2 linked regions of the Drosophila melanogaster genome follow. The protein of the gene in region 1 interacts with the protein of each later gene in a pairwise test. Each region holds a gene or a part of one and is shown on either strand. Other genes may lie near its edges. The genes, in order: CG3999 and Ubc84D.

The links.
Region 2: the proteins of CG3999 (region 1) and Ubc84D interact in a two-hybrid assay, tested with the Drosophila melanogaster proteins (one large-scale study listed by BioGRID).

The regions. Positions count from the first base shown.
Region 1 is NT_033777.3:10,249,343-10,255,774, forward strand, and holds CG3999 (uncharacterized protein), read left to right. Parts: upstream 1-2,175; 5' UTR 2,176-2,237; coding exon 2,238-2,414; intron 2,415-2,546; coding exon 2,547-2,625; intron 2,626-2,828; coding exon 2,829-3,355; intron 3,356-3,455; coding exon 3,456-4,189; intron 4,190-4,247; coding exon 4,248-5,577; intron 5,578-5,638; coding exon 5,639-5,749; 3' UTR 5,750-5,926; downstream 5,927-6,432. Other genes in the region: CG42795 (uncharacterized protein), read left to right, coding at 1-629.
Region 2 is NT_033777.3:7,518,002-7,521,030, forward strand, and holds Ubc84D (ubiquitin conjugating enzyme 84D), read right to left. Parts: upstream 1,456-3,029; 5' UTR 1,358-1,455; coding exon 896-1,357; 3' UTR 819-895; downstream 1-818. Other genes in the region: alpha-Est7 (alpha-Esterase-7), read right to left, coding at 1,750-2,223, 2,279-2,448, 2,511-3,029. UniProt on the Drosophila melanogaster protein: Catalyzes the covalent attachment of ubiquitin to other proteins.

The sequences.
Region 1 (6,432 bases):
ACACCACCGTCACCTCAACCTTCTACGATCGGTTCCTCACTGAGAAGCAGATCGAGCGGCAGACCCACTCCCGTCCGCCCAGTCGTTCGCCAGTGGTTTCACCCTCGGTGCCAGCCAAAAGCTATGTCGAATTGTGCAGCACCTCAGGCACATCCAGCACCACCGCTACCAGCACCTCCACCTCCTCATTCATGTCCAGCAGCTATGCAGGCCCCTCCTTTTCGCTGCCCTCGGCCAGCAACTTTTCCTATTTGAATCCGGGTTCGGGCTCGGGTTCGGGCATCTCGTCAATTTCGCCGCGCGCCAGTTGCTCGGATCTTCGTTCCACCACCAGCGGCCCTACATCCACCAGTACCACCTCCGTAACCACCTCTTCATATGTACCCTACAATTTCACCAGCTCTTTCACATCTCGCTTAAACGATCCCATTATCACTTCCACTACCAGTGCAGTTAGCACTAGTTCCCTTACCCATTCCACGGGGGTCTACAATCCCATGATGTCGTTCACACTGAGGGAACCACTAGCCAGCAGTTCCCTGGGTGGTTCAAGTGCCTCTCCATTGCTACCGTTTCAGTTTAACAGAACTTTCACTTCCAACTTCGACAAGGAACAGAACAAACAATAGAAGGATGCACATCAAACATTAACCAAAGGTTGTCCATACACATTACAAAGCTCCCATTGAAGATTCAAAACATTGAAAAGAAATCAAGCTCAAAGCACTGAGAGAAAAATCTGTCTAAAACAATTTAATTATTCTACTCCTATTCGAATTTTTTCATTTTTGTGGTTCTGAAAATATTAAATAATCAACAATTATCTTAAAGTTAACAGGTTGCCACTTTCCCAACTGTTCTTATACCATGTTTGCTGATTTTAGTTAGGTTTTTATCTCAGTCAGCCTAACTTTCGCTAAGCAATATAAATATAGTAAATATAATTAACAGTTTTAGGCAAATAAATACCTAAACACATATATATCTACAAATATATACAAACCTTGCAAATCGGATATTTATTCTTCAAGCAACTCTTGCACCAAACCATTTTGGCTTCTTGCAACTTACCTCATCTACATTGACAGCACCAGCAACTCAACTAATCATAACTTAGCAAAGATTTTTATACAATATATATCTACGTATATACAAAGAATATAGCTATCGAAACCGTAACCGAATGCGACGAGGAGGGCAAGGCAAGATGTTAATATCCAACTTTTTTTCAGCGTTAACAAAAGTTTAGCCTCTAATTCCTTGAACAACTTTAACTTTAGAACACTCAATTAACCTTAAACTTTTCCTTAAAATGAACTAATCAATTAACATGGTTTACACTAGCCAACAAAAACCCAAGAAAACAATATACAAACACACACACACACTTTGAAACGGTGTAAAACTTTAAGTGCATTTTTGGGCCGAGTTAGTCGAGGATGCTAAACATAATGATTATTCATAACTGACTGACACAAGCCGTAAAATTAGTTTAACAACATTGTTAAATACACACGCAGCCATATATGATGTACCTATACCAATTGAACGATATATATTGTATTTAATTAAATACCAATTGCAGTTGTTGAATTTCAATTATGCAAAAGACACAATAACGACTATGAATAAGCAAGAGAAAGCAAGCCCGAATGCAAATGGTTATAGAAAAAATTATCAATCTCGGCTGAGGAGCCGAAAGTTAATCAAAACGATTAGGAAAATTTTATGACAAGTATTTCGATTCGAAAACGGCAAGATACCAGGATACTACCAAATGCAATTGTTACGTAGACAAAATGACGATAACGGCTTCAGTTTATATAACCATAAATTAAATATTAATTAATGTTCTCTTCAATTTTGTTACCCAATTTTGTTGTGATGCTTTTCCTGTTATTAAGACACGTTTGTACGCCATTTATGTTATTGTTTAAAATCAAACACAATCTAATTAATTGGTAATACAAAAAAAAAAGTAGTAAGAATATTTTTATTACAAATTGTTGAAGAGTTTTAAGTTTTGAAATAAAAAGAAAATATTTAAAATCGCACTTGACTTTGTATTTGGGAGGGTTAAACATTTCTATCAATCGGAGAGAACAACTGATAAGCCGAGATGATCGTCACACTCGCCTTATCATCTGAAATGGAAAAATCTTTCCAGCCAGAGATCAGTCATCTATTGAAAACCGCGTGGAGTGGACGTGCCTTAGTTTATTGGATTAAACCTTACCATGCAGCGATTTTTGGGAAGGAGCAGCCAAAGCCTTTTGCTAAGATGTGGTCATCGCTATCTGGCCACCACTCCTGTGGAGGAGGTCATATTTCCCACCAAATCGGATTTTCCCAGTCGTCATATTGGGCCTCGAAAGACGGATGTGGTGGCCATGTTGGATACTTTGGGCTTCAAGGTAGGAAGGTCACCAAAAAGCTTAGTTTAGATCATATTTCATAGCAGAGCGGTTGAACAAACCATTTTGGAATCCGAAATTTCCAGATTTGGATCAAGCCAAGTTTAATTTTTACCACCATTATCATTTTAGTCCCTGGCGGAGCTCACAGAGAAAGCTGTGCCCCAGAGCATTCAACTGAAGAGGGAACTCGACCTGGACAAACCTCTGAGTAAGTAGCGCTACGTTTGAATCCTAAAATAGCTGAAAAACAAGGCAGTAAGGCAATGGACCCCCTGGCGTGTTCGCAGCCGCTGATAACCGGGGTGATAAGCCCGGTTCAGCGAGGTCTCTCCCAGTTATCAGTGTTTTGACTGCCGCTTGATCTTCGATTTTTCGTCTGCGTCTGGCTGACAACAATTTTCCATTCTGCAGATGAGCACGAGCTAATCCGCCGAATTCGCGACATCTCGCTAAAGAATCAACTGTGGCGCTCCTACATCGGAATGGGTTACCACAACTGCCATGTGCCGCACACCATTATCCGGAATATGTTCGAGAATCCGGGTTGGACCACTCAGTACACCCCGTACCAGCCGGAAATCGCCCAGGGACGCTTGGAGTCGCTGCTGAACTATCAGACCCTGGTAACCGATCTCACCGGCTTGGATGTGGCCAATGCCTCGCTATTGGACGAGGGAACCGCTGCTGCCGAGGCCATGTGCCTGGCCACCAGGCACAACAAGCGCAAAAAGCTCTACCTGTCGAACAGGGTGCATCCCCAGACGCTGTCCGTAGTCAAGACGCGAACGGAAGCCTTGGAGCTGGAAATCGTGGTGGGACCTATTGAACAGGCGGATCTGCCAAGCCGCGAATTGGCTGGCATTCTTCTCCAGTATCCAGATACTTATGGTGATGTCAAGGACTTCGAGGATATCGCAGCTTTGGCAAAGAAAAATGGGGTAAGTTGAAATATTTATTTATACATAAGAATATACAACAAAAAAATCAGAAAACTTGAACTTGAACTTGACTATAGCGTTCTCTTCTGTTTTTATTAAGACCCTCGTGGTGGTGGCGACCGATTTGTTGTCGTTAACCCTTCTGCGTCCTCCGGCGGAATTTGGAGCTGATATTGCAGTGGGAACCTCCCAGCGATTGGGAGTTCCTCTGGGATACGGTGGCCCCCATGCCGGATTTTTTGCCTGCAAGCAGAGCTTGGTGCGGCTAATGCCGGGAAGGATGATTGGCGTGACCAGGGATATGGACGGAAACGATGCCTATCGTCTGGCCCTGCAAACCAGGGAGCAGCATATCCGGCGGGATAAGGCAACAAGTAACATTTGCACGGCACAGGCTCTTCTGGCCAACATGTCGGCCATGTACGCCATCTACCACGGTCCGGAGGGTCTGAAAGCCATGGCCAATCGCATCCACCATTTCACGTTGACCCTTCAAACGGGTGTCCTGGGAGCGGGTCACGAAGTGATCAACAAGAACTTCTTCGACACACTTCACATTAGACTGGGTGGAGGTCAATCCCTTGAGGATCTCAAAGAGCGTGCCGAGCACAAGCGCATTAATCTCCGATATCTTGAAGATGACACTGTTGGCGTGGCCCTTGATGAAACGGTCAGTGTAGCCGATGTGGACGATCTGTTGTGGGTCTTCAAGGCAGAGGCATCTGTGGAACACATTCTGGCGCGTAAAGATGTCCTTAAGAACTCGATTGAGAACTCCAAGTTCCTGCGCACTTCGCCCTATCTGCAGCACCCTATTTTCCAGAGCTATCACAGGTAAATGATTAATAAACTCTAGAAATCATTCAACTTTAATGCGCTTCCTTCGCCACAGCGAGTCCCGCATGGTGCGCTACATGAAAAAGCTGGAGAATAAGGACATCTCCCTGGTGCACTCCATGATCCCCCTGGGATCCTGCACTATGAAGCTGAACTCCACCACCGAGATGATGCCTTGTTCCTTCCGCCACTTCACCGATATCCATCCTTTTGCGCCGGTGGAACAAGCCCAGGGATTCCATCAGATGTTCAAGGAACTGGAGCATGACCTATGCGAGATTACAGGATACGATCGTATCTCCTTCCAGCCGAACTCGGGGGCCCAAGGAGAATATGCCGGACTGAGAGCCATCAGGAGCTACCATGAACACCGAAATGAAGGACACAGAAATATTTGTCTGATTCCAATTTCTGCCCACGGCACAAATCCAGCTTCTGCACAAATGGCGGGTATGAAGGTGGAGCCTATTAGAATTTTGTCGAATGGTTCCATCGACATGGCACACCTAAGAGCTAAGGCAGAGGAGCACGCCCACGAGTTGTCCTGCCTAATGATTACCTATCCATCGACAATGGGCGTGTTCGAGGAAACGGTTGCCGATATTTGCACCCTGATCCACAAGCATGGCGGACAGGTGTACCTGGATGGAGCCAACATGAATGCCCAGGTTGGGCTGTGTCGACCTGGAGATTATGGCAGCGATGTTTCGCATCTCAACCTGCACAAGACCTTCTGCATTCCGCATGGTGGTGGTGGTCCTGGAATGGGTCCCATCGGCGTGAAAGCCCATTTGGCACCATACCTTCCTGGTCATCCTGTTGTCAGTCCGTTGAGCAGCGAGGAGCACAGTTTTGGAGTCGTATCCGCCGCTCCCTTCGGAAGCTCTGCCATTTTGCCCATATCCTGGTCGTACATTAAACTCATGGGCAGCAGGGGTTTGAAGAGAGCTACCCAGGTGGCCATTCTCAATGCAAACTACATGTCCAAGAGGCTGGAGCAGCATTACAAGACTCTCTACAAGGCACCCAACTCTCAGCTGGTTGCGCATGAGTTCATTTTGGATATACGCGACCTGAAGAAATCGGCCAATATCGAGGCAGTGGATGTGGCCAAGCGACTCATGGATTACGGCTTCCATGCACCAACTATGTCTTGGCCCGTCGCTGGAACCCTGATGATCGAGCCCACTGAATCGGAGGATAAGGAGGAGTTGGATAGGTTCTGTGATGCCATGATTTCCATTCGAGAGGAGATTGCCGAGATCGAGGCGGGTCGCATGGACAAGGCAGTCAATCCACTGAAGATGTCTCCTCACACCCAAGCTCAGGTGATCTCGGATAAGTGGGATCGACCATATACACGGGAGCAGGCTGCCTTCCCCGCCGTAAGTCCATTGCATTATTGAATAATTATTCTATTTAACTGTATTTCAATTTTTATTACAGATCTTTGTAAAACCAGATGCCAAGATCTGGCCCACTGTGGGCAGGATCGATGATGCCTATGGTGACAAGCACCTTGTGTGTACCTGTCCGCCAATACTGCCTGATTTATAAGGCACTTCAGTTCTAAGACCAAACAATCAATTTATATTACACTACTTTTTAAATAAACCCCTTGAACGTATCTTTTATATAAGAAGGTTCTTTATTTTTCGTTGATAAATTAATTATCTAAAAAAATCATATATGGTACATTTAGCAATCAATAAAGCTTCACATTTATTTAAAACTAATTAAAATTAACTTATAAAATACCTCAAAGTAATGAAGTAATTGCGTGCTAAATGCATTGTGTTTCTAACGAGCTTTTTAGATATTAGTAACTTTAAACATTTGACTTACGTGTACTTTGTTTTCTTAGCTTTAGATTCAATTTTTGAGTCTTTTACATACTTTTTGTTGTTGGGGAGCCCCAGGATGGGTGCCATCCATTAAAATCTCCCGTAATTAGAGAGGGTGTTTGTTGTATGTTAAATGTGTTATGGAGTGTCTGGTTAGTTATGTTTTTGGTCGGAGAAATGTATGTGGAAAATATGTTTAATTTAAGTTTAGATTCTATATTTATGGCTATTGCTTCTATATCGATTGTTATGTTGAGGACAGTGTGTTGTATTGACTTATGCACTAGTAGTGCTACGCCCCCAAATCTGTTGGTGGCAATATTTGTTAATAGTTTGTAGTTTATTGGGGTTGGAATGTTATTAGTGTATTGTATATGGGTTTCTTGGAGGGAAATT
Region 2 (3,029 bases), 2.7 Mb from region 1:
TACATGGATTTTATTAAAACCGTGTTTACAGATAGAATTTTGTAATATATTTCGTACGTCAACACTAGCCCAGAATCGTATTCTAGGCTTTTCAAAGGCTTGTTTTACAATTCCTTTAGTTTTTGTGTTCTATTGGTATATATCTATTGGTACTCGCTATAATCGGCAGCAGACTTTTATTATCGTGTATATATGAAAGTATGTTATTATCCTTCGCAGACGCTACTGGTACGCTTCGTCACTACGTGGACTACCTGACGTCCAAAGTGATGAATGTGGTCAATATTTGATAGCTTATGCGTATATGTGTAACTGTATTAGGTAAATATGATTGCTATAATTACCAATACGATATTGCCAAATGCGGTTGCCTGTTGTTACTGTTAATGATACATTAATGTAATTTGATTAAATTCGTTACTCGTAGACAAAGGGGTATATCAAGTAATAGGTATCAATTATATGTGTACATATATAGGATCAATATCCGAGTGAACTCGGGAACTATAATGGCTAGAAATGGGAAATCAAGCATGCAGATTCTACAGGCGCTGAAGCACAAGTTTTCTTTAGTAGATTGCTAGACACCGGCCACAATCACCGCCAAGTAGCCAAGAGTTGGCTACGATTGTAGCAATAAACCAACAACATGTATTCCACGCTTACCAACGGCCACAATTTTTTTACCTCAATTTTGAAAAATATTTTGAATTTCTTTTTAACTGTACTTTTTTTCTTGCCCATTTTTTTTATCGAATTACCGTCCATTTAATGCGCCATACATATATCTTAGCGAACATTCAAAATATGGACAACTTATGTCTGACAAGTTTTAATTGATGGTCCAAACTATATATAATTTTGATATACAAATAAATGTGAGCTGCGGCTGACTTCACTCTGGTCGCTTCTCCGCATTCTTCTTGGTGAACTCTTCGGCCGTCTTCATGAACTTCTTGTGCTCCCTTACGAACTCCTCGGCCAGGTCAGAACGAAGCGGATGTTCTGGCTCCGGGTTGTGGACGATGGCTACCAGGGCCTGGAGCACCTGCTCTGTGCGCGTTGTGGGCTTCCAGTTGTCTGTGCTGATGATGGGCAGGCACACCTCCCCCTTCTCATCCACGTTGGGGTGATAGATTTTCGTCTTGAATAGGATCTTTGGTGGCATAAAGGGATACTGGGGCGGGAAGTTGATTTCGATGCGGAAGGCGCCCTTGTTGTAGGGCGCCTTTTCCGGAACCAAAAGACCCGTCCACATCAGCAGGGACTCATCGCTACTCTCGATGTTGCGCAGAGTGCTCATCTTGGCCTCAACCAGATCGGAGAGTTCCCGTGTCAGACGACGAGTGGCAGCCATTCTATCAACGGGATCAGAGTTCCTTTCCTTTGTTTTCCCTAGATCTCGGAAAAAAACTTGTTAATTTAAAAAAGTCTAAAAATTTAATTTTCCTATTGCTATTGACAGTAAAGTCAAAAGGGCATGTCGAACATTGTTTTTATATTCAAACTTATTAAGAAGTTATCAAGCATTTAAATAAATGGCGTAAACTGAGGTAAATATAGAGATAAATAGAAATATATATTTTTAAATCTCACCTAAACTAGGATTTCTCATCCACATGCAATCATTGGGCAAACTAGTTATAAAGCAAAACAATCCAATTGCAGAATATATTTTATAAAGCATTTTGACCTATTTACAGTTTCTAGAGACTTCTTTGTTAGGCTGTACAGAACAGTAAGTTAAATTTAAAACAATAAATCTTTGTTGTCGTCATAGAGGCTCTCCCAGACCTTCAATTTGGGCCACTCAGGCAGATCGATGAACTTCAGGTCATCACTGATGTTGAGGCACTTGATGACCTCGTCGGATTTGCGAACTGGATCAATGGTCAGAGTGTCCATACCGTTGATCTTCTCGCTGTAGGGATTACCCGTGGCAGCAAACTGGGTCCAGATGCCCACGGTTCGTTCGATGTTCCTGTACTCGCGACTTTCCTTCGGCAACCGGCGAGCCAGCAGGCTGCTGAATTGGTAGCTCAAATCGTCGGCATGGCTGACCCCCTTGACACCGCGTCCCAACCGCATAATGCGGTACGGAAAAATGAGCTCCTCGGAGTCGAAGTCATATCGATAGAAATATACTGGAGCTCCAGCCGCGTACGCGTGTCGGGAATGGACCACCCTCAGGGCCGGAAACACGAAGTAGTAAATCGAACAGAGCTGAAATAAATTACCAGCTTATGATTATGTAAGCACCTAATTGGACGACACTTACATCCATGTAATTATCTGGGGTGCTTTCTGAGCCAGTGCGATGAACATCTCGAATCTGTGCACTCCACGAATCCAGTTTTTCTTTACTGGGCTCCGTGGCCAGCAATTCTTTGGGAATGAAAGGTGTGCCAGCATCAAGCTGCTGCAGCACCTGCGGCATAAGCTTTACCTCTGTGAAATAAAATTAAATTTACTTATTGAAAGAAAATTCAAAAAAATTCCCAATATCTAACCTGGAACCCACAGCAGGCCCTCGTACGAAGTGTTTCCTATAAACATGGGGATGGAGTTACTCCAGGCGGTCTTCATCATCTCCTTTGGAGGCTTGGATATCACACATTCGGGCGTGGAGAATGGTTCCAGGGATGGGCCAAAGGCAAACATTATCTTGTTCATGCGTTCCTCCAGTGTCAGGACATTTTCCTCCACGCGAATAAGATCCTTGGCCTTTACGTTCTGCAAGAACTCCAGCACATCCTTGTCGTTGTCCTCGCCCTTGTAGCCAACCAGCTTGGCTATCCTGTAGGGATTATGGGTAATGTCGCCGTTGTAGGCCCAAGGACAAATGGCACTGCCCGACTGCAAGATGCCGCGATGAAAGAGCCCTTGGGTCTGATCGGTTAGCATCATGTAGTGAGTGGAGGCGCCTCCAGCACTCTCTCCAAAAACAGTGATGCAGTTGGGATCTCCGCCGAAACTAGCGCAATTGTTCTTGATCCACTTGAGGGCCAGCACCTGATCCTTGAGGCCAG